Linked DNA regions of Macaca mulatta. The protein of the gene in region 2 purifies or fractionates together with the protein of the main gene of each other region. This does not show direct contact. Links are inferred from orthologs where the notes say so. Each region holds a gene or a part of one and is shown on either strand. Other genes may lie near its edges.

What was found.
Region 1: the proteins of HAT1 (region 2) and ASF1A purify together in Homo sapiens (affinity purification with mass spectrometry; 4 studies listed by BioGRID and IntAct, counting the BioPlex papers as one, with this or other methods). This does not show direct contact. The link is inferred for Macaca mulatta from reciprocal best matches to the Homo sapiens genes HAT1 and ASF1A.
Region 3: the proteins of HAT1 (region 2) and ASF1B purify together in Homo sapiens (affinity purification with mass spectrometry; 6 studies listed by BioGRID and IntAct, counting the BioPlex papers as one, with this or other methods). This does not show direct contact. The link is inferred for Macaca mulatta from reciprocal best matches to the Homo sapiens genes HAT1 and ASF1B.

What each region holds. Positions count from the first base shown.
Region 1 is NC_133409.1:23,855,808-23,866,488, reverse strand, and holds the start of ASF1A (histone chaperone ASF1A), read right to left. Parts: upstream 5,972-10,681; 5' UTR 5,632-5,971; coding exon 5,523-5,631; intron 1-5,522. UniProt on the Homo sapiens protein: Histone chaperone that facilitates histone deposition and histone exchange and removal during nucleosome assembly and disassembly.
Region 2 is NC_133417.1:76,834,508-76,845,229, forward strand, and holds the start of HAT1 (histone acetyltransferase type B catalytic subunit), read left to right. Parts: upstream 1-5,764; 5' UTR 5,765-5,830; coding exon 5,831-5,837; intron 5,838-9,195; coding exon 9,196-9,300; intron 9,301-10,722. UniProt on the Homo sapiens protein: Histone acetyltransferase that plays a role in different biological processes including cell cycle progression, glucose metabolism, histone production or DNA damage repair. Coordinates histone production and acetylation via H4 promoter binding.
Region 3 is NC_133424.1:14,717,749-14,728,672, forward strand, and holds the start of ASF1B (histone chaperone ASF1B), read right to left. Parts: upstream 6,932-10,924; 5' UTR 6,319-6,931; coding exon 6,210-6,318; exon of another isoform or gene 6,110-6,209; intron 4,867-6,109; exon of another isoform or gene 3,872-4,866; intron 2,631-3,871; exon of another isoform or gene 2,333-2,630; intron 1,128-2,332; exon of another isoform or gene 642-1,127; intron 1-641. UniProt on the Homo sapiens protein: Histone chaperone that facilitates histone deposition and histone exchange and removal during nucleosome assembly and disassembly. Cooperates with chromatin assembly factor 1 (CAF-1) to promote replication-dependent chromatin assembly.

The DNA.
Region 1 (10,681 bases), on a different chromosome or scaffold from region 2:
GTTCCCTAAGTTGATAATAGAAATAGTAACGTACTGCTCATTTATATTGTATTGTAAACTACAATCAACTGAAAGGTCCTTTTTTATTTTCTCTTATTAAGTCACTAATCACTTTCTGAGGACCTATTATGTCATGGCTCTGTCCTAGAACTAGACCATTTATATTTCCAGCTTCCAGCACATTTCCAGATGCAGGGTGCTGCATCTGACATCTCCTGAGATCATCTGTTGATGGAGATAGAGAGGAAATAGACAATATAAGTATCTCATCAGAGGGAACGGCAAATACAAAGGCCAGAGGTAGGGTACACTTGGCAAGAAAAAGCAAGGAGGCCAGGGCTGGAACAGAATGAAAGCAAGGGGGAAAGCAACTAACCCTATAATTGAGGATGAGGGGAACAGCCAGATCATGCGGTTTTGAAGGCCATCATAAGGACTCTGGCTTTCACACTGAGTGGCATGGGAAGCCATCGGAGGGTTTTGAGCAGAGCAGTAACAGGAGCCAACTTTCATTTTTTTTTTTTTTTGAGATGGAGTCTCACTGTGTCGCCCAGGCTGGAGTGCAGTGGCACAATCTCCGCTCACTGCAAGCTCCGTTGCCTCCCAGGTTCATGCCATTCTCCTGCCTCAGCCTCCCAAGAAGCTGGGACTACAGGTGCCTGCCACCACGCCCGGCTAATTTTTTTGTATTTTTAGTAGAGATGGGGTTTCACCGTGTTCACCAGGATGGTCTCGATCTCCTGACCTCGTGATCCGCCCACCTCGGCCTCCCAAAATGCTGGGATTACAGGCGTGAGCCACCACGCCTGGCCCCAACTTTCATTTTAAAAGGAATGCTTTGATTGCTGTGTTCAATATAGAATGTAAGAGGACAGGGAAGAAACAGAATATTTCAACAATTGAGGCAAGAAATTATAGTGGCATGGACCTCATGTGGCCATGGGGCTGTGCAACAGTTATATTCTGGATACAATTCTTAAGATGAAAGCAGCAGGAGCCACTTTTGCAGGGGGGTGACATGGGGTGGAGGAACAATCAGGAGTTCATTTTAGACATATTTGAGATGTCTGCTATCTAAGTAGAGATACTGAATAGGCAGGATAAAAATTTGGAAACTGTCAATGATATGTTAAGCCGTAAAAATACATAGGCTTGCTCTAAGGAATGAGATTCAAGACCTCCAAAGATAAGAGGACAAATAAACAAAGTAAGTTACAAAACAAGTGGCAAATGAGGTAGGTGACCCAAAAAGCAAGTGAAGAAACTGTTTTAAGCAAGTGGTGTGAAAGGCACTGAACTAGCCAAGTGAGGATAAGACTAAGAATCATCACATAGAGTGGCTGGGCACAGTGGCTCACGCCTGTAATCCCAGCATTGTGGGAGGCTGAGGTGGCTGGATTGCTTGAGGTTAGGAGTTTGAGACCAGCCTGGCAAACATGGTGAAACCCATCTCTACTAAAAATACAAAAATTAGGAGTGACACATGCCTGTGGTCCCAGCTACTCGGGAGGCTGAGGCACAAGAATCGCTTGAACCCAGGAGGCGGAGGTTGTAGTGAGCCGAGATCGCGCCACTGCACTCCAGCCTAAGCAACGGAACAAGATTGTCTCCAAAAAAAGAGAAAAATTATCACATAAAGGTTTTCATAAATTTTAATTTTATATATAATTGTACCACTACATATAACGCCCCTGGATCCTAAGTGGTATAAATTGGCATTTGTGGACTGGCATAGGAACACAGCCATAATTTATAAACCTATTTTAGAACATACCTACTATATGCTGGGTATTAGTCCTGCCACTTCATACCTATTGTTTAAACCTCAACAGCTTCATCATATGGATCAAATTATCACCATTATGCAAATAAGTTGAGACTCTGAGAAGTAAAGTAATCTACACAAATTCATAGTTTGTACATCAAAGAATCAGAATCCAAGCTATGCCTACAAACCCCGGGCTTCTTCTGAAAAGCTAACTAGGAAGATAAGATAAATTCTTTCTAGCTCTGAAGTTAGCAGTGGAATAAGGGAATTTATTTGCAGGGGAAGTGAGAGCAGAGGCGATGGTGAGATAATCTTGCTTTAACAAGAATAGGCTGCAACTCAGGGAACACTTGTACATTGATTTTTATGTTTATGGGATGCTTGCTATAGTTACTGAGTTTTACATGCTCAGTACTTTTTTATACATGAGCATCAGTTTTTTTTTTTAAACCCAGCTTTCATTTAATTCCTCTGCCCCCTGTATTTGAGGGAGAAAAGGTAAGGTCAGATGCTTTACATAAGTTCTCAGGTGAAGAAATCTGTTCATTTATTTTAACGTTAACTTTTATTTAATCACAGTAATCATGATTAAATGATTTACCCAGCCTGAAAGTATTTCCATTTGTGGTGAGAGTGAGTGAATGAGGGAAGTCATCAAGGGAATTTTTAGCTAATTACACTACTTGGGAAGACCTGTGGTCTAGTGGAAAGTATGTAGGCTTTGGAATTAGAACAAGCTGAAGCTGGAAAGTCTGAAACACCGTGCTCAATTCTGGTATAAGTATTCAATTGAGAGTAGCTGTAATTAAGATTATATGTAAATTTAAGAATGGCAGGATGGTCAATCAAAACTTGTACAGGCTTGGTAACCATCAAGCACATCCAGCCAGGATCTCAGGCTGTCTTAACCCCTGATATAAGCCCTATATTAGAAAGAATCAAATTATGTTAAGACCAGATATTCCTCACAGCTTTTTCTGAAGCAAAGCTACAGAGCAGCTCTTAAAGAAAAGTAAATGTTTGGGGGCTATTGACGAAAGTATGAAAAATGGTGGCCAAACTCTGCTTTGAGACTTGAGGCAAAATAACTTACAAAGAAAATTCTTTTCAAAATATTCTATAGTTTGGGCTGGGTGCAGTGGGCTCACTATAATCACAACACTTTGGGAGGCAGGGGTGGGAGGACTGCTTGAGCCCAGGGGTTTGAGACCAGCTTGGGCAACATGGCAAAACTCCATCTCTACAAAAAATTAAAATATTAGCCCAGTGTGGTGGCACATTGACTATGGTCCCAGCTACTCAGGAGGCTGAGGTGGGAGGATTGCTTGAGCCCAGGAGGTTGAGGCTGCAGGTAGCTGTGTTTGCACCACTGCACTCCATCCAGCCTGAGTGCCAGAGCCAGACTGTCTCATTTAAAAAAAAAAAAAAATTCTATAGTTTAAGAACAGAATTTTTAAAAGAACTATAATATAAAAGTATGGAACCTATAAGAAGCCTTTGCTAAGTAAACTCAATTTCCTTAATCCACATAGCCTCTAGGTGGAGTATACAGGCATGGCACCTTTTTGAAAGATTCCTTTGCAGCTTCAGTATGACTCAGCTTAAAATATTTTTTAAAATACTAAATAAATGCTCAGTAATGGTGCCTAGGAAGTGAAATATACCATTGGAAATAAGTATATTTTTGATACCAGTACTGTAAAACCCTGATGTGATTCAGCTGGGTTCTGAATGGATCCCAGTTAAAAATGGAACCTGTTTTGGCTTTATGAATGGCTGGTTTCATCTATGCAATGTAAAAGCCCTGTAACGACATCCTGAGTCATCTATCTTCTTTGTTCAGAGCTGACTCCTAAAATGGAAGGCATCACTTGAGAAATACCTGTAATTTGAAGAACTTCTGGTGGTATACTTGAAAAACACTGTGGTGTAAGTTGGAATGGACCGATCAATGGTTTTTCTTTTGTCTATTTTTATATGCAGTTGGCAATAAAAAAAAAAAAAAATTACTGACTGTTGGGTGTGAAAAATGGGCCTGGTAGCTGCAATGCTTATATTAATAGTAGTATCATACAGATGACTTCAGAGTAATAAGAAAAATACCCCTAAGTGTTATCAATGGCCTATTTGAAATTATTTTAATAAATGAATCATCTTTCAAAATTTGCCCTATATATGTATGTGCATTTATACTCTATATAGGTTTACCAAAAAAAAAAAAAAAAAAAAAAAAAACCCCACAGAGGGGCACATGTTAAAGTAGTAATTGTGATTACCTAAAGGAGATAGGGGAAGGCATTGAGTACAGAGAACTGTTAACTTTATATATGCCTGTACAACTTTCTAAAAGTTTATTACAATGATATATATTGTTTTATAATTAAAATTAACCTTACATATGATACATACATTTTAGAGATTAAAAACTAGTTTTTAAAATGAAAAGTTTTACATGCCACGATTAGCCAAATCATCTTCAGAGCATTTTAAAAATACACTTCTAGTTCAAAGAAGTATGCCCCTCATCGATGAAGTTAAACTATTTCCCCTTCAAAACTGGCAAATGAAGTACTGAATTACTTTAGTAAAATATAATTAAAGCAAAGATAATTGTTGTTTTAGCTTTCTAAATATTTATTACTAAACATATTAAGAATACGTATTTTTAAGACCTTAAAATATATGTAGAAAAAATACCAGGAATTCTTGGACTGACATGAGTTGTTTACCTTAATTTCCTAGCCTACGTTTGTGTTTTATGTTTAGGGTGTGTTCTGCATCTGGATGTGGAGTTATTTTACATTTCAACACGCTCTTGAAGAAAGTCTTCTTTCAGACTATTTAGAAGGCAGAGATTAAGTCCTGGAAATTATTTAAGTATCTTATTTCTGCTCTTAGGTTAAATGTAACTTCCTAGCTCAGCTCTCTCTCTCTTCCTGAGATTAGCTTTTCGTCATTAGGGGAAAGGAGTCCACGTTGGTTGGGGAGCCTGCGCGCCAGCATCCCGGCGCATCCCGGGCACCGGCCGAAGAGGACCGGCCGAACAGGACCCGCGGCCCCCGGGGAGTGCCGGCGCCCAGCCCGCGGCGCGGAGGGGCCGAGCCTGCGCCCGCCTCCCCCGCTGGTTGGTCGAGGAAGCCAGAAATCAGCGCGAGGACAGCCTCGCTCTCCTCCCCGAAGCGGCCAGGCATGGCCAGCCCGGAGAGTGCGGCGACTCCACCGTGAGCTCTCGAGAGTTACTGCCTCCCTTTCGCCGGGGGCAGGCGGGCGAAGGGGCAAGAAGAGGCGCCGTGCGCCGGGGTCGCTGGCCCAATTCTCGACTGGGGTAAGATGGCTCCGCTCCGAACTCGCCGGCGCGACCACACGCACAGCCTCTCCCTTCCCAGCCTCCGTGCCCGGGCCCGGAGGGTCGCGGAAGCTGTTGGCGGCGCTAAGCCAGCCCGGCGCGACCCCAGGAGGCGCCGCGGGCGCGAGTGCGGGTCTCCGAGCTGCCCGCCCGCAGACAAAGCTGACAACATGGCTTCCTCCGCTCAAACAAGTTCCTCGCAAGTTGAGCCCGGCAGGCGCCTGGGCTGCGGCGGAAAGCCGCGCGCGCCTCGGCGGCCGTCGACCATCAACTTGAAGTTTCCCTCCGCAGAGCAGCCCGCGGCCGCCAGGCGCCGAACACAGCCGCCCAGCGCGAGGCCGGGCCCGGGAAACTTTCAACGTCTGCAGCCCGCAACTGACAGCCCGGGCGCACGGGCGCCGCACTCACCTTCAGACAGGTCCTCGATGCACTCGAAGGTGATCTCGAACTGGAACGGGTTGTAGAAAGGAGAAGGGTTATCCAGCACCACTACATTGTTCACCTGAACCTTTGCCATATTTTGAAAAAAACACAAACAATGGGAACTGGGGCTGGTTGCGGCACAATAAAGTCCAGCGCGCGGCCGCTCGGGAGAGCGCAGACCCCCGCCCCAGCGCCGGCCCGACGTTGTGCAGCGGCGACTTGAGAAACTTTTTTTTTCCTCTTTTTATTTACACGGGAGCACTCCACAGTGTTTTGCAGCTTTCCTATTTCACTAAACTACAGCCCATTCTGCTCTGATAAGTAGCAGCGTTGCCCTCGATTGGCTGCACCCGAGCTCTGACCCTCCTCCTCCAGCGAGGGCCTCGGCAGCCAGCAAGATGGGCTCCCGCTCCCGGAATGGACTCGGAAACTTTAACTGCGGCTCCACCTGCTGGTGTGGATTAGGACAAAGGCGGAGAACAAAGTGAGTGGAATAAGGGCTGGGAGGCCCGCGCGGAGGCCGCCGGCGGCGGCGCGGAGAGGGGCGGCGGGGGCGTGGCCGCGGCGGGGAGGCGTGGCCGCGGCGGGAGGGCGCGATTCGGCCGACGCCCGCCCCTCCGGTTGGCTTCGTGTGGGTGTTTTGGCGTTTTTTGTTTTTTTGTGGTTTTTTGTGTTTTTTTTTTTTTTTTTAATTTTTTAACGCTCTTTTTACATCATTGCAACAGCTTTGCCGGCCTTGCTGAATTTAGCAGATGAGAATCGGTGTTTACACTGGGTTAGGTTCAGCTTTCTGTGTATCGGGTAGTAGTTGGAGTAGAGAAAAAGATTGCCTGCAGGGGAAATAAATTGCATGTTATAGACCGATGTCAGCTCGAAAGGAGCAAAGCCATTTTGGAAATCTAGCTCTTGGCCAGTATCTACGTTTAGGCACGACAGCGCCGTTAAGCAACACAAAATGAAGGGCGAGGAATGATTTTCCACACACTGTGCTTGGAAAATTTAAATAGGTAACCTTTGGGCTTACACCTGGGCGTCTTCTTCGGAGTCCAGATCTGGAAAGTCCTAGAATAAGAAAAAAATCACAAGAGGTGTGATCAGTTATACCCTAGGTTACTGCCATTGGGAGAGCATAGCAGGAACATAAAAGGAGAAAATGGAAGTGTCAGGAGACCAACAGGGCAACACACATAATAGAGATGGGGAAAAGAACACGAAGACATAGCAAGACATTTGATCTTCAAAAAAATTTCTGACCTAAACCATTAGTAAAGCAAATTCTGAGGAGCCCTTGCTTGCCTGTAACCAGTTGAGATCTGAACTGAGGAAATGTTGATTCGTTTATGCTGTTTGACTACCATTGCGGGGAAAGAGAAAGCTTTAACACATTTGTGAGCCTAAACCGTTTCTATTACTAGTAAGTGGTATAAAGATTTGTTTTTATTACCTGCTATCCATAAACCGTCACTTTTTTCCTTAAATGTTGTGAATGAAACCACCAAACTTGGCCAAATTCAGAGAGAAAATTAATTCTGAAGTATCTGCTCTGGAAGAGTTTTCTCTTAGGATAGTGCCCAGAATGTTGATTTGTCATTCTTTGGGCATTGTTCATACTTAAGTAGGTGGCTTTTGATGAAACGTTTTCATCTGATGGTCTTTTGAAAGTTAATGTGAGACAGCTAATGTCAGCCCCTCCTACATTTAGGAAGACCAGTTAGAGTGGGGAAGAGTTCCCTTTTTTTGTCATGGATTGAACAGTTAGATATAGGACCTACCAGGAAAGACTTCTTCAAGCCAGTTGTTTGTGACATTAGAGTATTAAGAGTCAAACCATGGTGATAGACACAGATTTTTGTGACTGATAAACCATATACTCTTCATTGTTATTGGTGCTGGTTCTAACACTAGCTAAGATAAAGTGGAAATTGCTATATGCTGTAAGACACTCTGTATGTGTAAGGTAAAATGACCATTTGAAGATTAAAACTCCTGTGAGACTGGTGTATGCAGCTCTGTGATTATTACAGGTACTCTTAAGAGGAGAGTCTAGTCATTCTCATAAAAATGACATTTTATGCTTGTTAAAATCAGGTGCATTTTGCAGTCTGACCGTAAGTGTTACAGTGAGACTCGTTATAAAACTCACTTTTGGTGGATGTGCAGCATGAAGGACTGAGAAGATCTACCTGGATACCACTAATTTGGCTTATTTTCTTTGAAACTTTTCGTTTAACACGTCATATACCATATACAACAGTATTTAAGAAGAAAAGATTCCCCGACATTTCACTGGAAGCTGCAAGAATTAGCTCCAGGCTTCTCCTGTCTTAACTCTTGTATTATTGCTTGTCAGAAATACTAAAGGGTCGTTGAACACTTTGTTCAATAGTTTCCTCACCATTGACACTACCTTACTCCAGGAGAGATCCAAAAGGATTCCTCAGATATCTCCTGGCATATTTCTAATTTAACTGGTATGCTGTAGGAAAAAAAGAATTGTGAAAGCCTCTGTCTGGTTTCAGAGGCAATCAATAGGACCTGTTGCTGAACAACTTTGATGACTCCCAAACAGCTAATTGTACAACAGATGGGTCACTGTGAATATCTTCCTTTATTAAGTACCCAAGGGGGTCCCACATGATGTTTGGAGGGCTGCATGGAATGTAATCCTCCAGTCGCTTCTCACTATGGGTTACTTGGGGGAAGGATGGTGGCTAAGAGAGATTTTATCAGCTCTAAGATGAACAAAGCCTAAGCTAGTGCTTAGGGCAAAAATAAATGAAACTAGTTACTTGTTGTTTTAGACTGAATTATGTCTCCTCCAAATTCGTATGTTGAAGGACTAATCCCTGGTACCTCAGAATGTGACTGTATTTGGAGATTAAGTTAAATGAGGTGGTTAGGGTGGGCCCTAATCTAATCTCACTGGCATCCTCATAAGGGGAAATTTAGATTTACAGAGAAGCACCAGGGTCACACGCACATAGAGGAAACACAGCAAAAAGGTGGCTATTTGCAAGCCAAGCAAAGAGGCTGTAGAATAAACCAAACCTGCCAACACTGTGATCTTGGATTTCTAGCTTCCAGAACTGTGAGAAAATAAATTTCTATTGTTTAAGCCACCCAGTGAGTGAGATTTTGTTATGGCAACTCTAACAACCTAATATAGTTGTAAGATATTTTTCCCCTCAGAACTAAACTTATTTGAGAATATAATCTTACTGAATCCAAATATTGATCAGTTCCCAAACACTTCCTGTGGGTGAAATGACGTGGTCGTTCAGCCATGCCAGTGAGGGTGTGGCATATGTGGAGTGGTGTGCTGTTGCCATTCTTTAGAGGAAGTATATACCACTGGGCATATAGCTTGAATTCTGAAGACACAAGATGCAGCTTCCTTGCATGGATTCACGACTCTTCTACAGAGAAGTGAAACTTGAAGTCAAGTTGAGGTCATACACAAAACGAGATGAAAGAGCGAATTCAAATATACTAGAATTGAATTAAATCAAAATGTGCCGAATTAAAATATATTAGAACTAGGAATTAAATTGAGTGTCAGCCCCTGCCTACTGCAAAAGTTATCATAGGAATGGAAGTACTAATCTCTAGCTTTTGTTCAAATCTAGATTTCCACCTGGGGTAATTATACTATCACTGTGTTGAATTATCTTCTCATTTGTATTATTACCAACTTAAAAATTTTTCTCATGTAAGGCTTGTTTTAATATGGTCTTTAGTTAGTTTAAAAGGCTCCTTTTTATTTATTAGAAATAGGTCAAAATTTAATGATAGTTTTAAATAAAATTTTCTGTATAAATGTAGACTAGAGATTTGATGGAGTCCATGGACATTTCTAAATGGAGTAAATTGTACAATAATGATTTCAATAATAATTCTTTACATACATACAGAGAGCATTTTTTGTGTGAAAATTTTATGCTAGGCTCTATGAGAAATAGTCAAAGACATACAAAGACCTTATGGTTCAGTAGGAAAGGTAACTAATCAAATAAGTATGATGCAGAATAGGAAGTGTTAGATGCACCTGTAACCAGTTATGTTAAAATAGGCAAAAGAAAAAGTGTTTTCTTGACCATTTGTAAAAAACTTTAAAATACCTATGTTTTTGAGCCTCACAAACAGGAATGGTAGGAGGGTAAGATATCATCCCATATAACAAATGAGGATGCTGGTGCTCAGAAACCCGTTCCTCTGATGACTGTCCTACCTTTGTACTCTCCACCATGTCAGGTAAATTTTAGAGTGGGCTTCGTATGTAGAAAAAATAGATTGCTATCATTTTCTGGAAGAACCCACAGGCTGGCGGACACTCCAGTAATTACTTGATTAATGAACTCTTGAGGAACAAAGCTCCATTAATGAGGTTGGTCCAGGTGCATACTGGGAGAGAGAAGGAGACCCAGCCAAGGCAAAGCTGGGGGAGGCTCCACACAGGAGTATTACAGATGTCAAGCCTCCTGTTGAAAAAGGCATCCCTTGGAAGTTGTAGGGGATGGAACTACACATCCTGGAATGTATCCTTATAGTTTTTATAAGGTTTCCATGTCTGTTACATAGTGTACCCTCTCCCCTTCTCTGCTCCACCTCACTAATAAAAGTTTCACTGTTTTGTGTTCTTTGCTAGCCACCATTGTTTTAGAAGTTTGTTGAAGATATAAGCTATATCTGATCCCTTATCCGTAGCTGGACTATACTGTAAAATACCTTTTAGATAACCATACATTACATCAGTCAGCTTTCTGAAGCACTGTAATTACGTTTATTGGCAGTTTCTTGGTGTTTATATCATTATGTTGTTTTTGACCAGAAGAATATGAATGGAAATGCCTAAAAATTATTTTCTGTCTTTTGTACTTAGTTTTTTGTCCATGTCTTCTTAGCCCTCTTATCAATCAAGGTCCTTCTAAACTCATTTCCTCTTGAACTCAGTCTCTACTTGCAGTCCATCTTCCTTCATGTTTTATAGTATATTCCATCCTTTTCTCTCTAACCCTCTACTGCTCTCATTCATCAGAGGTTCACTTTTTAATACCAGGAAAAAAAGCAGTAATCAGTAGAGAGGACTCAAATCTTTAAAACATCTCTAGGCTAGACCACTGCTTGTACAAAGCCATTGCTAAGCA
Region 2 (10,722 bases):
AATATCACAGTTATTATTGTATTACCTACCCAAAGTAGACAAATACATAATTAGTGCCATTTTAATAAATTAGTTTCCAAAAGTAAAGCAGGTATCACTGCACAGTCATTTTGAAAACAGGTATAATAGTTATAATGCTCATTATTTTGGCTAATCTTTGCTTGTAAATAATGACAAAATGCAAAACGGAAAATATTAGTTTTCAACTAATTGTTCCTAGTTTTGATTAAATGGCTTCCCTTAGAGTCTGTGTACCATATGTCGAATGTAGAGAAGAGGGTAGGGAATTAGCAACCATGTCTAAAAACCTCCAAAAAGATGGATAAGTTTCTTTCTTTTTTTTTTTTTAAGACGGAATTTTGCTCTAGTTGCCCAGGCTGGAGTGCAATGGTGCAATCTTGGCTCACCGCAACCTCCGCCTCCTGGGTTCAAGTGATTCTCCTGCCTCAGCCTCCCAAGTAGCTGGGATTACAGGCATGCACCACCATGCCTGGCTAATTCTGTATTTTTCTTAGAGATGGGATTTCTCCATGTTGGTCAGGCTGGTCTCAAACTCCGGACCTCAGGTGATCTGCCCACCTCGGTCTCCCAAAGTGCTGGGATTATAGGTGTGAGCCACTACGCCCAGTCAGATGGATAAGTTTCTAACTGTGAAAGAAACCATTACATCATCATTAAAAGAGACAAATGGTATTAAAGAAGAAAGAAAACTCATTAGTCTGGGTGCAGTGGCTCACGCCTATAATCCTAGCACTTTGGGAGGCCAAGGAGGTAGATCACTTGAGGTCAGGAGTTCGAGACCAGCCTGGCCAACATGGTAAAACCCCACCTCTACTAAAAATACAAAAATTAGCTGGGCTTGGTGGTGGGTGTTCACTGTAGTCCCAGCTGCTCGGGAGTCTAAGGCAGGAGAATTGCTTGAACCTAGGAGGCAGAGGTTGCAGTAAGCTGAGATCATGCCACTGCACTCCAGCCTGGGCAGACTCTGTCTCCAAAACAAAAACAAAAACAAAAAACCTCATTAATCCCCATATCTAAATTCCCCCTAAAGGCAACTATAGTTAAGTTTGTGAGGGATGCTTTCAGATGTTTTCTGTTTATATAAAATGCATTTTTATACAAACAAAATAACATATATTTTGTAATTTATTTTTTAACTTATTGTATCGGAGATAGAATATATTAGCTAGCCCCTTGTGCTAGTTTAGGCTATTTTCAATTTGCCAGTGAAAATAATACAGCATTGAACATCTTTGTTTTAGTGTATCTTTCCATTTCTGTGAAATAGTTTTGCAGTACAAATGTGGAACTGTTGTTGCCTCAAAGGATATACAAATTGAAAATTTTGTTACATTTGTAAAAATTTGTTAAAATTTCTAAATTGCCCCTCAAAAGGTACTAATTTATACACCTATGGGTAGCGTATTAGAGTTAGAAAATAAAAACTGTTGGTAATTTTTGTGTATTTAGGATATTCCTCTTATAGTAGTTTTCAACATGAGCTGGTCCATTTTTCTTTTCTTTCTTTTTTTTTTTTTCTTGAGACAGACTTGCTCTGTCGCCCGGGCTGGAGTACAATGGCGTGATCTCGGCTCACTGCAACCTCCGTCTCCCGGGCTCAAGCAATTCTCCTGCCTCAGCCTCCTGAGTAGCTGGAATTACAGGCGTATGCCACCACACCTGGTTAATTTTTGTATTTTCAGTAGAGACAGGGTTTCACCATGTTGGCCAGGCTGGTCTTGAACTCCTGACTTGATGTGATTTGCCTGCCTTGGCCTCCCAAAGTGCTAGGATCACAGATGTGAGCCACCACACCCAGCCTATTTTCTTTCTTGTATCCCATTTGGAAGTCATGTAGTCATGTAGGATAATGGTTTCTGGATAATTGCTTTGGGAACTGAAACTCATAACTTTACCCTCATTAGCACTATAAGCTAAAAAAATGAGCTAACTACTTGTCTGTGTTAAGGTATGTATTTTGAAATGAAGACACATTACATACATGCATTTTTCTTTTAGGTCTTAGATTTCCTGCATCAATTTTCTGATGACCATTTTTTTTTTTTCTTTTTGAGACGGAGTCTGTCTCCCAGGCTGGAGTGCAGTAGCGCAATCTTGGCTCACTGCAAGCTCTGCCTCCCAGGTTCATGCCATTCTCCTGCCTTAGCCTCCTGAGTAGCTGGGACTACAGGCACCTGCCACCACGCCCAGCTAATTTTTTGTGTTTTTAGTAGAGACGAGGTTTCACCGTGTTAGCCAGGATGGTCTCAATCTCCTGACTTTGTGATCCGCCTGCCTCTGCCTCCCAAAGTGCTGGGATTACAGGCGTGAGCGACTGCACCTGGCCTGATGACCATATTTTTTACGCCAAATTTTAAACTATTCTGGAGGTTTCAAAGCAAGATAGTGAAATTTATCAGTCCACGTGAACTTGAGCCTGTACCAACACATGGTTGCTGCTTCATACCTAATAGTGTAATATGGCCCTTTTCTCTGAAGAAAATGCCTTTGCCAAATCTCCCTTACTACAATAAATGTTATCATAGTAATACCACTTCATACCTACATAGAGTTTTAGAGTTTACAAAGCTCGTTCACAAATATTCCGTTTGGTTTTTACAACAACCCAGTGTGGTGACTGGGCAGTACTATTATCTCCACTTAATAGATGGAACAAGGTTGAACAAGCATGAAGTAGTAGAACTGGGACTAGTAGAGCACTAAATTTCCCACAAGATATGTTGTCTCTTCCATATATATGAGGACAGCATATTCCTTTTGTAGAAATTTTATTTATTCCATGATTGTAATAGTCACTTTCTTAAATTCCCTTTAGAACAAAGTAAAATATAAGTTAAAAAAAAAAAAAAGAAAAGAAATCCCTACAAAAAAAGAGAATGTTTTTTCCTTTTGGATAATTTTACCACTACCTTTCCAAAATAAGTCATTCTTTTATCTTCTAGGTAAACTGTACCAAAACATCTATTCTGTAACATTAAAAAAATATATGTGAGGATGGACGTGGTGGTTCATGCCTATTATCCCAGGATTCTGGGAGGCCAAGCTAAGAGGATTGCTTGAGGCCAGGAGTTTGGGACCAGCCTGAGCAACATACTGAGATTCCATTTCTATCAAAAAACAAAAAAATTAGCTGTGCACAGTGGCACACATTTGTAGTCCTGGCTATTTGGGAAGCTGAGAGGCAGGAGGATCTTTTGAGCCCAGCAGTTGGAGGCTGGAGGCTGTAGTGAGCTATGATTGCATCATTGCAATCCAGCCTGGGTGAGAGTGAGACCCTATCTGAAAAAAAAAAAAGTGAACCTCTAATACGAGGACAATATAAAACCTCAATTTTGCAAGCAGATCACATTAAATGCTAGTCACACAATGTATCAGTAAGTTTCATCATATTTTTTCCCTACAACCATAATATCACAGGACTAATAATCTGTGATATACCACAGTTAAAATGTAATTCTTCTTGATTTCTTACTTATAAAGAACATAATTGCTTTTGATCAGCAATTGATCCATAGATACGGTGATTTCAGAAAGAAATGATGAGTCTTGCCGTTTTGAAAAGAAAAGATTTTTTTTTTTTTTGAGATGGAGTCTCGCTGTCTTGTGCAGGCTGGAGTACAGTGGCGCTATCTCAGCTCACTCCAACCTCTGCCTCCTGGGTTCAAGTGATTCTCCTGCCTCAGCCTCCCAAGTAGCTGAGATTACAGGCGCATGCCACCAAGTCTGGTTAATTTATTGTACTTTTTAGTAGAGACAGGGTTTTACCATGTTGGCCAGGCTGGTCTTGAACTCCTGACCTCAGGTGATCTGCCTGCCTTGGCCTCCCAAAGTGCTAGGATTACAGGTGTGAGCCAACGTGCCTGGCCAAAAATGATTATTAAAGAAAAAGATTGTTTTCCTTTTTTGATCCATAATGTCATTAGTCCCATTGATTTCAGTTTTCTGTCTTAACATTATGACTGTAATTTCTTGTGTATCATTAGGTTTCAAGAAAAAGGATCTGGCCGGGCGCCGTGGCTCACACCTGTAATCCCAGCACTTTTGGAGGCCGAGACAGGCAGATCATCTGAGGTCAGGAGTTTGAGATCAGCCTAACCAACATGGAGAAACCCCATCTCTACAAAAAGACAAAATTGCCAGGCGTGGTGGCGCCTGCCTGTAATCCAAGCGACTCAGGAGGCTGAGGCAGGAGAATCGCGTGAACACGGGAGGCGGAAGTTGTGGGGAGCCGAGATTGTGCCATTGCACTCCAGCCTGGGCAACAAGAGCGAAATTCCGTCTCAAAGAAAAAAGAAAAAGTAAAAAAGAAAGAAAGAAAAAGGATCTGGGCATTCTCAGTACCTTTTCTGATCTTTATCTTCGGGAAAGCCATCTCTGTATCGTTCAGCAAATAAATACTGGGCTGAGTATCTGATGAACTGCACTCTGCATAGGTTGCATTCTGAGAGAGAACTTGGGCAGTTTATCTTTTCTGGGATTTGGTTTCCTTATCTCTAAAATGAGAAGGCGTGTTACTTCTAGACCATCATCCCAAGGGTCCATTTTAGCTTTAGCATGCATCAGTGTAAAACCTGTTAACAAATATTTGTTGAGACAAGGAATTCTGGTGTATAGCCAACATTGTGGGAATATTTGTGGATACCTAAACAGTGCTTTATCCTCTGGGCAAAACAGTTCCAACAGCTACTAAATACTAACAAGGCCTACGGCTAAAATCAGGTAGCACCTTGTGATGTAATTCAAACCACTAGAACATGTGGCATGCAAGACTACATCAGGCCACTTAGGTATTTATTAGTTAACAATTTATTTATTTATTTATTTATTTATTTATTTATTTATTTTTGAGACGGAGTCTCACTGTCTCCCGGGCTGGAGTGTAGTGGCGCAATTTCGGCTCACTGCAACTTCTGCCTCCAGGGTTCGAGCGATTCTCCTGCCTCAGCCTCCCGTGTAGCTGGGATTACAGGCGCCCGCCACCATGCTTGGCTAATTTTTGTATTTTTAGTAGAGACGGGGTTTCACTATGTTGGCTACGCTGGTCTCGAACTCCTGACCTCAGGCAATCTACCTGCCTCGGCCTCCCAAAGTGTTGGGATTACAAGCGTGAGCCACCGCGCCTGGCCTAGGTAACGATTTTTCCGCGTTAAATGATTGCCTACTAACCTGAAGAGTGAAAGCAGAGTACCTAAATATCATAGTGTATACGTTAAAAACAGGGGAGAAAGGAAAAAAGATGTTAAAGTTTACAGCAAAATGAGAAACAAAGGAGGAAAATAAGTGAAAACTTCTTCCGAAACTGAGACTCAACCTCTACATTTTACCCTAGGTAAAATCTTACCTAGGGTAAAATTGCCCACAGGTCTCAAGTGTTTGGATGCACTGTCCAGGCCAAGAGGAAAGATTTTCAGCCAGTCTCCAAAACATCTCAGGGACGGGTAAGGAAAACAGGCGTAAACTGTCTGTATTGATCAAATCAACCCCAGAGAAACTTTCCTAGGTCCGGAGAGCATCTCAACCGCGAAGGTTCATTTGCGGCCTCCTTCTCCACTTCAGGCCTGCAAAGCGGCCGACAGCATTCGCACTGGCTAGGCAATTCGCACAGCTAACGGCCCGTGCAGACTTCTCCGCGTTAGCCCCGCCTCCTGAGGCGCTTCCGCCGCCGGGCTCCTGGACACGCCTCCTTTAATTGGCTAACGTCACGCTGGGAGTGGGCGGGGACAATGTGTCAGACTGTGCGGTCACTTCCGGCCCGGGAGCGCGCGGGTTGATTCGTCCTTCCTCAGCCGCGGGTGCTCGTAGCTCGGAAATGGCGGGTAAGTTCCCGGGAAAAGTTTACCAAGGGGAGGAGGCGGCCAGATCTGGGATAGAACGCTGAGACGGTGGTGACAATGCCCGCCTGGAACTTTCGGGCTGTAGCCTGGGTTCCAGAAGGCCTGCTTGGGACCGGAAGCGCGGAACTCTCAGCCCAGCAGCTCCCTGTTGGCCGCGGTCCGCGCCCCCGCCCCCAGCTGCTTGGGGTTCTGCGCCTTTTGCGAGCACCCCGGCCCCTACCGAGGGCCGAAGAGGCCGGGGGAAAGCGTCAAGATTTGAGCTTGTAAAATGCCACATGCCTTGGGGCCTGTTTCTCTTCCCATTCCTTTTGTCCACTGCTGCTTGCTTCAGATCTTGTACATCTGGTCCTGTTCCCGCCAGCTGATTTTAATGCTCAGATCTCCTCCTCTTCCAGGTCTCCGTCTACCTTCCAATACAGTCAACTTCTGAGCTAGCGCATTGCTGACTTGCCCTGCTCTAGCGCTCCCACTTGGATCTCGACTGACTTCATAATCGTCTCCTTAATCTCTCACACTTTAGTATTCCGAGGATCGTATTTAGATGCCTTTTGAGAAAGACTTTGTTCCTGAACTCCTCCCTTCTCTTTTAGGGTTGGACTACTATAATACAATTCTCTTGAGTACATTCTAGCGTCCCTTCAACTTACAACATTTAATAATGTATAATTGCTATTACTTTGTACGTGTATTAAGGCTGTTTTGGTGTGATTATTTTTTTCGATTACTTATCTTTTGAAGTTATGGACAGTTTCTTTTTCCTGAGACAGGGTCTCTCTGTCGCCCAGTCTGGAGTGCAACAATCATAGTTCCCGGCAGCCTCCAACTCCTTCTACGCTCAAGCTATCCTCTTGCCTCAGCCTCCCGAGTAGCTAGGACTACAGGCATGCACCACAACATTCGGCTAAAAAAAACACTTTTTAAAAACCTTTTAGAGACGGGGTCTGGCTGTATTGCGTCAGGCTGGTCTGGAACTCTTGGCCTCAAGCCATCCTCTCGCCTCTGCTTCTCACAGTGTTAGAATTACAGGATTGGGCCACTTCGCTGGCCTCTGTTGCTTTTATCATCTCTTTACAGGGCATTCCTCGTAGTCTCCATTTTTATGGATATGTGGGATAGATGAGCTGTTGTGTGAGCTCTAGAGATGTTCAAAGAAGGACTTTTTACCAGATAGAAATTGTAGGATCTTGAAGTACAACAGAAGAGGGAGGACATACGTTAAGAATTACATCTAAATTCGAATTTGGGGCCCATCATTTAGTAGTTGGATGCCCTTCAACTCAACCTCTTTCTAAGCCTGAACTTCTGAATATAAAGTGGAGTTGATATAATACCTACTTACAGAATTGTGCGGATTAAGCTAATATATGATTTCGCAGGTTAAATTTTGTTGCTTACATTCCTCGAAGTAAATTCTGTAATCTTAGTTCTGTAGATTAGGGTCAGCGGGATTAAGTAATGTACTCTAGTTCACTGAGCTCACTAGCTCAGTAAGTGTGTGAAATAGTCAGAATCCAGAAATTCTGACTCCAAACTATTAATCTATACTGCTTCAAGTCTCCCATTTTCTGTGTGTGTGTTTTAACCCCTTATTGAAGTTCATAGCACATCTAGCACATCATTGTACCCATTTTTACTTTTTGCTTATGGCTTTTTTCTGCCTGAAATTTTACTAATTTTTTTTTTTTTCGGAGACTCTGAGTCTTGCTCTGTCACCAGACTGGAGTACAGTGGTGCGATCTCCTCAACCTTTGCCTTCCAGATTCAAGCAATTCTTCTGCCTCAGCCTCTGGAGTAGCTGAGACTACAGGCGCGCACCACCACGTCCAGCTAATTTTTGTATTTTTAGTGGAGATGGGGTTTCACCATGTTGGCAAGGATGATCTCCATCTCGACCTCGTGATCCCCCTGCCTTGGCCTCCCAAAGTGCTGAAATTACAGGCGTGAGCCACCGCGCCGGGCCCATTTTTTTTTTTTTTTTTTTTTTTTTTTTTTTTTTTTTGAGACAGACTCTCGCTCTGTAGCCCGGGCTGGAGTGCAGTGGCCAGATCTCAGCTCACTGCAAGCTCCGCCTCCCAGGTTTACGCCATTCTCCTGCCTCAGCCTCCCGAGTAGCTGGGACTACAGGCGCCCGCCACCTCGCCCGGCTAGTTTTTTTTTTTTGTATTTTTTAGTAGAGACGGGGTTTCACGGTGTTCGCCAGGATGGTCTCGATCTCCTGACCTCGTGATCCACCCGTCTCGGCCTCCCAAAGTGCTGGGATTACAGGCTTGAGCCACCGCGCCCGGCCGCCGGGCCCATTTTTACTAATCTTTATATTCATTTTGTCAGGAGATTTGTTACCTTGAAAGTTTCTTTTGATAGTGATATCTTCTAGTGTTATTTATTATATATATTATTGAGTAACCACTTTGTAGTAAAACTACTTTATTGTGCCAGTAGCTCACAGTTTATGACTTTAGGCACACATGATTTTTAAATATTTAATACAGTGGAAAGATGTTTTCTTTGTGCCCCTGTTCCTCTTCCTTCTTTCTTACCTAGGGTAACTGTGGTTACCAGATATTTGTGTATTCTTCTTGAGACATTCCATGCATTATCATTTCCTTATCTGAAGCACTCTGGTAGACTTTTTCCAATACTTAAAATGAAGTACTGTCATAATTATCAGAGGACATTCTCATTTTGCTTTTTACATCTTATAATGAAAAAGACGACTTAGGTATAAATCTTAGCAGATTATTTGTATTAGTAAATGTTCAGAAATGTTAGTAATCTATCATGTTAATTTTCAGGTTTATTCATTTATATTAAGTATGCCTAGTTTATAAACTTGTATCTCAAAAGTGATTTCTTTTTCTGTTTTGTAATGAGGCACCTTTTTTTTTTTTTTTTTTTGAGACGGAATCTTGCTCTGTCGCCCAGGCTAGAGGGCAGTGGCGTGATCTCAGCTCACTGCAGCCTCTGCCTCCCGGGTTCAAGAGATTCTCCTGCCTCAGCCTCCCAAGTAGCTGGGATTACAGGCACCTGCCACCGTGCCTGGCTAATTTTTGTATTTTTGGTAGAGACGGGTTTCACTATCTTGGCCAGGCTGACCATGAACTCCTGACCTCATGATCCACCCGTCTCGACCTCCCAAAGTGCTGGTATTACAGGTGTGAGCCACCGTGCCCGGCTGGCATTCTTAATACATTTATTTAAGAGTATGTGGAGAATGACTTGTGCTTTTATGATCTGTCAGCATGTTTTAAATCATACCCCTATTCCACTTCTAATAACCCTATTGTAAGTTGGACGATTTAAATCACTTCCAATTAAACGTTTTAAAAACCTTTTCTCTTAGGATTTGGTGCTATGGAGAAATTTTTGGTAGAATATAAGAGTGCAGTGGAGAAGAAACTGGCAGAGTACAAATGTAACACCAACACAGCAATTGAACTAAAATTAGGTATGTATGCCATTTCTAAGTAATATTATGTACATACTGTGTGTGTATATATAATCTTTCATTTTAAATTTGAAGTAAAATTTTATGTAAGAGCAGTTATTTATGCAAATGTATAGTTTTCTGCATTTATTGAACATACTCAGATTTTATTCAGTCTTGATTTATGTCATGGAAGGGGTAGACGTTTGAAAGGTGACAGAATTTTATGTAAAAAGGAAAGACGGTGGGGCAAAAAGTAGTAAGTATGTATAGTTTCAGCTTCTTAAAAATATTTTTAACGTTTTTGCCTGTAAGAATAATAAACAATAGCAAACATTGGTGAGGATGTAGGAAAAAACACTTGTATATTGCTGGTGGGAATGTAAAGTGATACAACTACTTGGGAAAACAGTTTGGCTCTTTTCTTTGTCTTTTTTATTTTCTTTCCTTCCTTCTCTTCTTTCCTTTCCTCCCCTCCCCCCCTTTTTTTCTTTCTCTCTTTCTTTTTTAAAGAGACAGGGTCTCACTCTGTCACCCAGGCTGTAGTGCCATGGCATGGTCATAGCTCACTGCCACCTCCAACCCCTGGCATCAGGCAATCCTTCTCCCTCAGTCTGCCAAGTAGCTGGGAGACCATAGGTGTGCACCACCCAAGCCTGGCTAACTTTTATAAATTTGGTTTTTTTTGTTTTTTTTTTTGAGATGGAGTTTCGCTCTTGTTGCTCAGGCTGGAGTGCAGTGGTGCAATCCCAGCTCACCGCAACCTCCACCTCCTGGGTTCTAGTGATTTTCCTGCCTCAGCCTTCCAAGTAGCTGGGATTACTGGCATGCACCACCATGCCCGGCTAATTTTTTGTATTTTTAGTAGAGACAGGGTTTCTTCATGTTGGTCACACTGATCTCGAACTCCCAACCTCTGGTGATCCGTCCACTTCGGCCTCCCAAAGTGCTGGGATTACAGGCATGAGCCACCACTTATAAATTTTTTCATAGAGATGGACCTTACGTTTCTGTGTGTCCAGGCTGATCTTGAACTCTTGGCTTCAAGCAGTCCCCTGGCTTGGCCTCCCAAAGTGTTGAGATTATAGCTGTGAGCCACAGCACCCCTCCTGGTTTGACAGTTTCTTAAGAAGTTAAACATAGATGAATTATATGACCCAGGAGTTGTACTGCCAGGTATCTGTCTACGGTAGAGAAATGAAAATGTAGTTCATGCAAAAACTTGTACATGAATGTTCATAGACGCATTATTCACAATAGCAAAAAAATGTAAAAAACCTAGATATATATCAGCTGGTAAATGGATATAGTATAGCTATACTATGGAATAGTATTTGACAACAAGAAGGAATGAAATTCTGATACCTATTGCAATGAACCTTAAAAAGATTGTGCTAAGTGAAAGAAACTAAACAAAAACACTATATATTAAGTAATTCTGTT
Region 3 (10,924 bases), on a different chromosome or scaffold from region 2:
ACTGTCAGGCACATGGGCTGAAATGGCTTTCAACCAGGGTCAGAAAGAAACTGGAGAATTAACTGAGGGCTGTAGAGAAATACTGATGCAAGAGTGATAGAAGCTGGTTGGGCACGGTGGCTCACGCCTGTAATCCTAGCACTTTGGGAGGCCGAGGCAGGCGTTTTGCCTGAGCTCAGGAGTTCGAGACCAACATGGGCAACATGGTGAAACCCATCTCCACTAAAAAATATAAAAAATTAGCTGGGCATGGTGGTGGGCACCTGTAATTCCAGCTACTCAGGAGGTTGAGGCATAAGAACTGCCTGAACCCAGGAGGCGGGAGAGGTTGCAGTGAGCCGAGATCATGCCACTGCACTCCAGCCTGGGCAACAGAGCTAGACTCTGTCTCAAAAAAAAAAAAAAAAGGAAGGAAGGAAGGAAAGAAAGGAAGAAAAAAGTTATAGGGCCAGGCGTGGTGGATCACGCCTGTAATCTTAGCGCTTTGGGAGGCTGAGGCGGGTGGATTGCTTGAGCTCAGAAGTTCGAGCCCAGCCTGGGCAACACAGTGATACAAAAAATACAAAAAATTAGCCAGGCGTGGCGGCACGCGCCTGTAGTCCCAGCTACTCAGGAGGCTGAGGCAGGAGAATTGCTTGAACCTGGGAGGCAGAGGTTGCAGTGAGCTGAGATCACGCCACTGTACTCCAGCCTGGGCAACACAGTGAGACTCCATCTCTACTAAAAATATAAAAAGTTAGCTGGGTGTGGTGGTGTGCACCTGTAATTCTAATTTTTGTATTTTTAGTACAGACGGGGTTTCACCATGTTAGCCAGGCTGGTCTCGAACTCCTGACCTCAGGTGATCCACCTGCCTTGGCCTCCCAACGTGCTGGGATTACAGGCGTAAGCCACCATGCCTGGCCAAGAATCATCTTACATTTGCTGAAATGGCCAGGCATGGTTAGGTGCACCTGTGGTTCCAGCTACTTAGGAAGCTGAGGTGGGAGGATTGCTTAAGCCCAGGAGTTCAAGTCCAGTCTGGACAACATAGTGACACCCTATCTCTCTTTTTTTTTTTTTTGAGACGGAGTCTCGCTCTGTCGCCCAAGCTGGAGTGCAGTGGCTCGATCTCGGCTCACTGCAACCTCCGCCTCCCGGGTGCACGCCATTCTCCTACCTCAGCCTCCCGCGTAGCTGGGACTACAGGAGCCCGCCACCACGCCTGGCTAATTTTTTGTATTTTTAGTAGAGACGGGGTTTCACTGTGTTAGCTGGGATGGTCTCGATCTCTTGACCTCGTGATCCGCCTGCCTCAGCCTCCCAAAGTGCTGGGATTACAGGCATGAGCCACTGTGCCCGGCCAACACCCTATCTCTTTTAAAAAAAAGAAAAAAAATCGGGCTGCAGTGTTGTAAGTAGCGACATATGTGTATGATTGCATTTCTGAATATAATCTTTCTTTAGAATTATACATGGGACACAAATCACCAACACAGCACGAACTCATAGCTACTGTGTACAGGACACAGCTGTACACATGAGGTGTGTATCTAACCTTCTGAGCAATGTCAAGGCAACTCAACTGTGTTCCATGTTATCTCTCTGCGCTAACTTCACAAGCTAGTCCCTGTACAAGACATACCTCCACTGTGTGTGTGTATGTATGTGTGTGTGTACATATATATATAAATGATAAGACTAAAGACACGTACATGATTACTGTAGCTGAACTAGCTAAAGAGTCTGCTTCCTGCTTTTTTGTTTTTGTTGTTGTTTGAGACAGTCTTACTCTGTCACCCAGGCTGGAGTGCAATGGCGCAATCTGGGCTCACTGCAATTTCCACCTCCCGGGTTCAAGCGGTTCTCCTGCCTCAGCCTCCTAAGTAGCTGGGATTACAGGCGCCTACCACCCTTCCCAGGTAACTTTTGTATTTTTAGTAGAGGCAGGTTTTCACCACATTGGCCAGGCTGGGCTCAAACTCCTGACCTCAGATGATCCGCCTGCCTTGATCTCCCAAAATGCTGGGATCACAGGCGTGAGCCACTGTGCCTGGCCTGTTGTTGTTTTTTGAGACAGAGTCTTGCTCTGTCACCCAGGCTGGAGTGCAGTGGCACAACCTCAGCTCACTGCAACCTCTGCCTCCCAGGTTCAAGCAATTCTTCTGCCTCAGCCTCCCGAGTAGCTGAGATTATAGGCGCCCACCACCAAGCCTGGCTAACTTTTGTATTTTTAGTAGAGATGGGGTTTCACCATGTTGGCTGGGCTGGTCTTGAACTTCTGACCTCAGGTGATCCACCTGCCTTGGTCTCCCAGAATGCTGGGATTATAGGCGTGAGCCACCGTGCCCAGCCTGTTTTTTTTTTTTTTTTTTTTTTGCCTTTGTTCATAATCAAAGATCAGTCCTGCTGCCATAACAGCTTTGTTAGTTCTGGGTCAGAACATCTGGCTTCTATGACTTACTCAACCAGTGTCTGTTGAATTTCTCAGCTAAACATGGAAGCATCTATTTCCAGATGTGGAAGATAAAAGTGCAAAGGGGGCTTGAGGCCCTTGAGAAATAGGAGTCACTCAACTGGGGCTTAGGAGTTAGGGTGGTTTTTTTTTTTTTTTTTTTGAGATGGGGTCTTGCTCTCTCACCCAGGCTGGAGTACAGTGGTGCAACCATGGCTTACGGCTTACTGCAGCCTTGACCTCCTGGGCTCATACAATCCTCCCATTTCAGCCTCCTCAGTAGCTGGGACCACAGGCACATGCAACCAAGTCCCATTAATTTTTTGATGTTTCTGTAGAGACAACGTTTTGCTATGTTACCCAGGCTGGCCTAAAACTCCTGGGCTCAAGAGAGCCTTCTTCCTTAGCCTCCCAAAGTGCTGGGATTACAGGAATGAGCCACCTCGCACAGCTGGATTGGGGGTTTTGTCAAGATTTTCAGTTGACACTGCTGAGAGTGAGCCAGATTCTCTTTTTCATGGAGAGGAGGCCAGAAAGAGGCAGAAAGCAAGCTGGCAGATCAGTCACAGAGAGCCCTAGGACTGGAAGAGCCAGGATTTCTCACTTGAGTTTCTTGAAGGAAAAGCTTTATCATCCGGGTGCAATTAACAATAGCATTCCCTGGCCGCGTGCTTGTGATTCAAAGTGTAATCCCAGCACTTTGGGAGGCTGAGGCGGGCAGATCACTTTCGGTCAGGTTTGAGATCAACCTGGCCAACATGGTGAAACCTCATCTCTACTAAAAATACAAAAATTAGCCGGGCATGGTGGCTCAAGCTTGTAATCCCAGCTACTTGGGAGACTGAGACCACAGAATCGCTTGAACTCAAGAGGTGGAGATTGCAGTGAGCTGAGATCGCGCCACTGTACTCTAGCCTGGGTGACAGAGTGAAACTCCATTTCAAAAAATAAATAAAATAAAATAATAATAATAATAATAGCATTCCCCTTTACTGTGTTTTGAGTATCCTGATTAGGCAATAAATTGTATGGTCATTCCTATCTATGCTCCACCTCTGAAATAGGGAATCCTTCTTCCTTTCTTTCCCTGGATCGGAGCAAAGATAAAGAACTTAGATTCAAAACTTCAGTGCCAATATTTCTACAAACTGGCTGGGTGACCCTGGATAAATCACTCCATTTCTATTAAAAGATGACCAGCAGAGGCTGGGCACGGTGGCTCATACCTGTAATCCCAGCATTTTGGGGGGCTGAGGCGGGCAGATCACCTGAGGTCAGGAGTTCGAGACCAGCCTGGCTAACATGGTGAAACCGCATCTCTACCAAAAACACAAAAATTAGCTGGGCGTCATAGCAGGCACCTGTAATCCCAGCTACTCGGGAGGCTGAGGCAGGAGAATTGCTTGAACCCGGGAGGCGGAGGTTGCGCCACTGCACTCCAGCCTGGGGGACGAGAGTGAGACTTCGTCTCCAAAAAAACAAAAAAAGGAGCAGCAGGTTGAATTTAGCCTTTCTGCCTCTAATTCTATAAATAAGTAAAGTCACAGGGCAGGGGCTTCCTAGGAGAAGTACCAGATAATGACCACACAACCATTTTTAAATGCAAGGAACACAAACAGGCTGATTGAAACCTGATCTCCTGCCGCCTGGGAGCTGGGAATCCCTCAACCTATTACTTCCTTCCATTTCCTCCTGGCTTTTAAATTAAATCTTATTCCACAGTGTCATTCTACACTTTATTTATTTATTTACACGCTGCCCTGTTCCAGAAAGGATTTAACTCGGCTTATTCTATAGTTAGCCACAAGTAGACTGCTTAATTTAAAAAGGAGCAAGACAGACCGGGGAGAGAGAGACCCACTGGCCTACCCGAAGCACATCCACATCTCACTCTATCAGCCCCAAGCTAGTCCAGGTGACCAGCTTTGAGGGCCAAACACCCACCTGCCCCCGAAAGGCACTAGTTAGCACATCCTGGCTTCACAGGCCCCCAGATCGCTACCTCCTCGGCTACTGCCTTTTCTCTTTTAACCACCAAGTAGAAAAATGGCCTAATGGAGTACTTCTTTCTGAAAGCAGGACTTGCATTTTAGTGGTGCCAAGGCTCCCTGGGTGACCTTAGATTTTGGATTTGTACAGGCCTTGACTTGAAAGGTCTTTTGCGCTTTGTGGCTCCTGTCTTCTCATCTGTGAGATGAGAGCCATGTCCACCTTTAAGTCACACAGATTAACAAGTACATCTGCAGAAGCACCTTGGAAAAGATGTACAGGAGGCTGTGACCTCCGGGCTCCAGGTGACTGTTTGAAGCTGGAGCCTGTCACAGCTCAGCCCAACCCACTCACCCTCCAGACTAGGTCAGACCATCAAAAGCAATGGAAGCTTGGCACTGATTATCCAGCTATATTAAAAAAAAAAAAGAAAAAAAAAAAAGACCGGGCGCGGTGGCTCACGCCTGTAATCCCAGCACTTTGGGAAACCAAGGTGGGTGGATCACTTGAGATCAGGACTTCGAGACCAGCCTGGCTAATGTGGTGAAACCCTGCCTCCAACTAAAAATACTAAAATTAACCGGGCATGGTGACAGGTGCTGGTAGTCCCAGCTACTCGGGAGGCTGAGGCAGGAGAATTGCTGAGATCGTGCCACTGCATTTCAGCCTGGGCAACAGAGCAAGAGTCTGTCTCAAAAAAAAAAAAAAAGAAAAAAGAAAAAAAAGAAGAAAGAAAAAGCGAGGGAAGAACTGCTGTAGTAACTCAGTTGGAAATGGGTGGGCAAACCTGGAGAAGCAGCTAATACCTGCCTGGCTATGCCAGCCCTCAGATCTCAGTGTGTTTATCCAAGTCCACAGAAGAGGGTGGGGAAGGGGAGCTGGGGAGACCAAGTTCCCCTCAAAGACGGTAGCATCCTTTCCCAGGGGGAGCTCAAGCATAGCAGGGGTTGGGCCCCAACGAAGGAGGAACCAGGTTCCAGGGTATGTGCAATGGCAGAAAAGCAACAGCAACTGGTGCGGGTGGGGTTGTTGAAATATTGGCAGGTTGGGGAGGGGATTGGTGGGAGACAAATGGGAAGATGGGGGCGAGGGCGGTCCTGAAAAGGGGTTGAGGGGTTTTCACAGCGAAAAACGGTTACTGGTGGGGAGCGTCTTCACGGTGAGGAGGGAAAGGAGCTTGCGTGAGAGATCTCCATAGGGAAAATAGCAGATGGCTAGGATTTCCCCCGGGGAAAATGGGAAGGGGCTGGACATTCGGAGTCTCCAGAGGGAAAATGGGAGGTGTGAGTATCTCACTAAAGAGGGAATAAGTGGGCAAAAATGGGTGGGTGGCTAAAGCGCGGGTCTTGCCACAGGGAAATCACGGTGGCTGAAGATCTCCGTGGCTTAAGAAATGGAGGCCAAGAAGATCTCTCCATGAAAACGGGTACCTAGGAAGACCTCCAGATTAAAAAGATGGATGAGGTTTCCCACGCGGGAAGTGGGGCTTGACTGGGGTTAATCTTTATGGGGAGGTCGGGGCGGGCAGTGGGGGAAGAGGTCACGGGGAGGTCCGAGTTAGCTAGCTGGGGGTCTCCACCCGGGAGGTCAAGGCGGGCAGTGGGAGAGGAGGTCACGGGGAGGTCCGAGTTGGCTGATGGCGGGGAGTCTCCACCCGGAGATCGGGATTGGCGGAAAGGGGACGAGGGGTTTCATGGGGGAGATCAAGTTGGCCATGGGAGCGCTTCTCCAAGGGGAGGCCGGGGTCGGCCCGGGGGTGGGGGTCCCCGCACGGGCCCAGCCTCACCGTCCGCCAGGGCTTCACTGCACTCGAAGCTGATCTCGAACCGGAAGGGGCTGTGGAAAGGGCTCGGGTTCTCCAGGACCGCCACGTTCAGCACCGACACCTTGGCCATCGCCTCGCCTCGCCTCGCCTCGCCGCGCCGCGCCGCGCCGCAGCAGGGGCAGGGGCAGGGGCAGGGCTGTGGCTGTGGCGGAGGCCGCGCCTGGGTCCGGTGAGTGGGGGGGCGTCAGTGGGGTACGGCAGACCAAGTCCACTCCCGCCTCTTCCCTCCGCGGACTGAAGTGCGCACCTAAACCGCGGACCGCCTTCAAATAGCCGGCCTCCGCCCTCTGGCCAATCACCGCCAACGCTCCCCTGGCGGCGCGCGCACCCCCTCAGCCAATCCTGGAGCGCCAGTCGGCGCGCGCCCAGACTCCCCGGACCAATCAGCGGAGCTCCCTCTCCGCGGCGTGTGAGGAGGGCGAAACCATCTCCAGGCTTCTTAGCGTGTCCGCTGGGAACCAATCCCCAGCGTCTCCGACTCGGATGTCAACGGCGGGAGTGGACGGAGTCAGAGCGCCGGACTCCTTCTGCCCAATCCTGAGGGTTCCCGCACCGGCGTAGCCCGCCCCTCGCCTCGCTTTTCCGGGAGCTGCATCCCGCACCGCGCAGCGCCGCCAACCGCCGAGCGGTGGCGCGCGGCGCTCGCTAAAGAAGGCGGGAAGGGCGGTGCTCGCACCCTCAGTGATTGGCAGGAGGGAGTGGGGCGGAGATAAAGAGGGTTTTCTGAGAGTTGATTGGCTGGATTGGTAATAGTGCCGGGAGCAGAATGAGGCTCAGCTGGGGATTCGCTGGAGAGAAGCGGAAGTCGAGCGCCGCCGCGGTGCTGGCGAGTGTGAAAAAAGAGGAGGAGGGTTGCGCCCTCAGCGTCTGTCAACAGGTGAGCGTAGTCTGGAGCTTTTCTGAGTGGCTCCTGACCCTTGAGGTCCAGCGGCCCTGGAGTCCGTTGTGAACGTTGCGAACGTTCGGAGTGGCGGTCACGCGGCGCGCTGGGACCTCGGGAGTCCAGCCCGGTTCGGATCCCGCTTTCGCCCACGAGGGGTTCGAATCCCGCTCTCGCCCCCGAGGGGTTTGGATCCCGCTCTCGCCCCCTCAAGGGCTCTTGGAAGGTTTCAAGCAGACGGTACTGAAAATGGGAGTTTCAGTTCGGGGGCAGACCAGTGTTCGAGTCCGGGCTCTGCTACTCAGCTCCTGAGGCAGCGTCTCTCCATTCAACGGGGGCAGTGGCAATTCCCTGACATGATTCATGACCGCACAATACATCCGGAAACTTCTCTCCGCCGCATCCCGTCGCCCCCGGCCTGGGAGACTCCAGGTCGCAGAGTCTCTGCCCCCACGGGCGATCAGCTCTACCCAGTGGAAAAATAATGCCAGCCGCGCACCTAATTTTACATTTTTTGGAAACCACTTTTTTTTTCTTTGAGACGGAATCTCGCTCTGTCACCCAGGCTGGAGTGCAATAGCGCGATCTCGGCTCACTGCAACCTCCACCTCCCGGGTTCAAGCGATTCTCCTGCCTCAGCCTCCTGAGTATCTGGGATTACAGGTGACCACCACCACAACCAGCTAAATTTTTTTCTGTATTTTTAGTAGAGACCGGGTTTCACCTTGTTGGCCAGGCTGGTCTCAAACGCCTGATCTCAAGTGATCCGCCCGCCTTGATCTTCCAGAGTGCTGGGTTTACAGGCATGAGCCACTGTACCCAGCCATATCTTTTTTTTTTTAATTTAAGATTTACTTTTTTTTTTTTTTTTTTGAGACGGAGTCTCGCTCTGTCGCCCGGGCTGGAGTGCAGTGGCCGGATCTCAGCTCACTGCAAGTTCCGCCTCCCGGGTTTACGCCATTCTCCTGCCTCAGCCTCCCGAGTAGCTGGGACTACAGGCGCCCGCCCCTGCGCCCGGCTAATTTTTTCTATTTTTAGTAGAGACGGGGTTTCACCATGGTCTCGATCTCCTGACCTTGTGATCTGCCCACCTCGGCCTCCCAAAGTGCTGGGATTACAGGCGTGAGCCACCACGCCCGGCCTAGTTTTTTTTTTTTTGTATTTTTTAGTAGAGACGGGGTTTCACCGTGTTAGCCAGGATGGTCTCGATCTCCTGACCTCGTGATCCGCCCGTCTCAGCCTCCCAAAGTGCTGGGATTACAGGCTTGAGCCACCGCGCCCGGCCAAGATTTACTTTTTTTTAAAAAAATTAAATTTTAGAGGCTGGGCATGGAGGATTTCTTGAGGCCAGGAGTTCAAGATCAGCCTGGGCAACATAACAAGACCTCATATTTACAAAAATATAAAAGAATAAGCCAGGTGTGGTAGTGCATACCTGTAGTCTCTGCTACTCCTGAAGCTGAGGCAGGAGGATCTCTTGAGCCCAGGATGCTCCAGCCACTGCACTCCAGCCTGAGTGTCAGAGTGAGATCCTGTCTCTCAAAATTAAAATTAAATTTTAGGCCGGGCGCGGTGGCTCAAGCCTGTAATCCCAGCACTTTGGGAGGCCGAGACGGGCGGATCACGAGGTCAGGAGATCGAGACCATCCTGGCTAACATGGTGAAACCCCGTCTCTACTAAAATATACAAAAAACTAGCCGGGCGCGGTGGCGGGCGCCTGTAGTCCCAGCTACTCGGGAGGCTGAGGCAGGAGAATTGCGTGAACCCGGGAGGCGGAGCTTGCAGTGAGCTAAGATCCGGCCACTGCACTCCAGCCTGGGCGGCAGAGCAAGACTCCGTCTCAAAAAAAAAAAAAAAAAAAAAATTAAATTAAATTTTAGAAAAGAAAGTTCAGTTTAGGTGTCTTGATAGCCACAGTTGAGTGCTCCTGAACCCCTGTGACAAGTGGCTCCTGTATTACTGGACAGTGAAGGTCAAAAACACATTTGACCAGGTCACTTCTCAGGATGAGAGCATTGTCTTCGAAACTATGCTTTGTCTCCTCTTAACTACCTAGCTCCAATTTCAAACCAGCCTAAGTAACCCTCTTTTTGTTAAAAATCTGACAGGCCACTCCCAGTGCAAAGCTCTGCCCAGAACCTCTTCTTCTGGGCTCTTGGCTGGCTTATGCCTTCTCGTCATTCAAGTCTCTGTTCAAATGTCCTCTCCCCAGAGAGGGCTTTCTAAGGGTGCCCTGGACAGTGTTCAAAATCACAGGCCGTAAGCCTGAATAGCACTGATCAAAGGCACTAGTATTTCTTACCTAGTCACCTCTGGAAACAATCCAGTTCCTGTGGGATTTTTTTTTTTTTTTTTAAACAGAGCTCTGTTTCCCAGGCTGGAGTGAAGTGGCATGATCATGGCTCACTGTAACTTGGAACTCTTGGGCTCAAGTGATCCTCCCACCTCAGCCTCCCAAGTAGCTGGGATCACCAGTGCGTGCCACCATGCCTGATTTGTTTTACTTTTTTTTTTTTTTTTTTTTTTTTGAGAGGGAGTCTTGCTCTGTCACCCAGGCTGGAGTGCGGTGGTGCGATCTCGGCTCACTGCACCCTCCTGCTTCTGGCTTCAAGCGATTCTCCCACCTCAGCCTCCTGACTATATGGGACTACAGGCACACGCTACCTTGCCTGGCTAATTTTTGTATTTTTAGTGAAGATGGGGGTTTCACCATGTTGGCCAGGCTGGTCTCAAACTCCTAACCTCAGGTGATCCACTCGCCCCAGCCTCCCAAAGTGCTGGGATTACAGGCATGAGCCACCATGCCCTGCCTGTTTTACTTTTTAAATTTTTTGTAGAGACAGGGTCTCGCTGTTGCCCAAGCTGCTCTTGAAACTTCCGGCCTCAAGCAGTTCACCTATCTTGTCTTTAAATGCTGAGATTACAGCGCCTAGCCCATTTTTTTTGGTGTGTACATCTCACATTAAGAAAAAATTTTTTTAGCTGTTAAAAAAAATTGAAAGCTTTTTAATATTCTTTTGAAATTATTTGGCTTCAAGGAAGCTCACATTTATGATTCCTTTGATTTCTTGGCAATCGTTGCATACTTGGGGATATTTGTGATTTGAGAAAATCTAATTTCCAAATGTAATTCGATTGCTTATGAATACTAAATTTAATGATTAATGCAGTTGTCATGATGTCATATTTCTAGATGCTTATTTAAATATTTATTCATTCCAACTTTGTAGTTTTATCTTTGCATTGTGGAACTTTTTTCCCTTTATCCCTATCCCTGACCTTTTCATAGCCCCTGAGAAGCTCATGAGCCACCAGCATTATTTCCGTGGCGCTAATGAAGAAAGTGGCCCTGTCTATGATGCATTCTCCTTACAGCTGGCTGAATGATCTTCACTTGTAAACCAGATCATGTCATTACTCTGCTTAAAACCTTCAAAGGCTTATCCTACTTAGAATGAAACCTAAGATCTTTCCTATGGCTTAGGCTGCCCTGCGTGGTAGCCTCAGCTGACCTCTCAGGCCTCATCTACCATTCTTCTTGTCACTGCTTTCAAGCCCAGCTGGCTTTATTCCCCTTCTTTCAACACACCCAGCTTATTTCTGCCGCAGGGCTTTGCACTTGCCGTTCCCTCTGCCTGGAATGTGCTTCCTCCGGATAATTGCATGGCTGTCTCATTCTCTTCGCTGTGGTTCAGCTCGAATGTCCTCTGAAAGAAGACTTCCCAAAGTACCCTATTTAAAGTACCCTTTCTTGGCCGAGCACGCTGGCTCATGCTTGTAATCCCAGCACTTTGG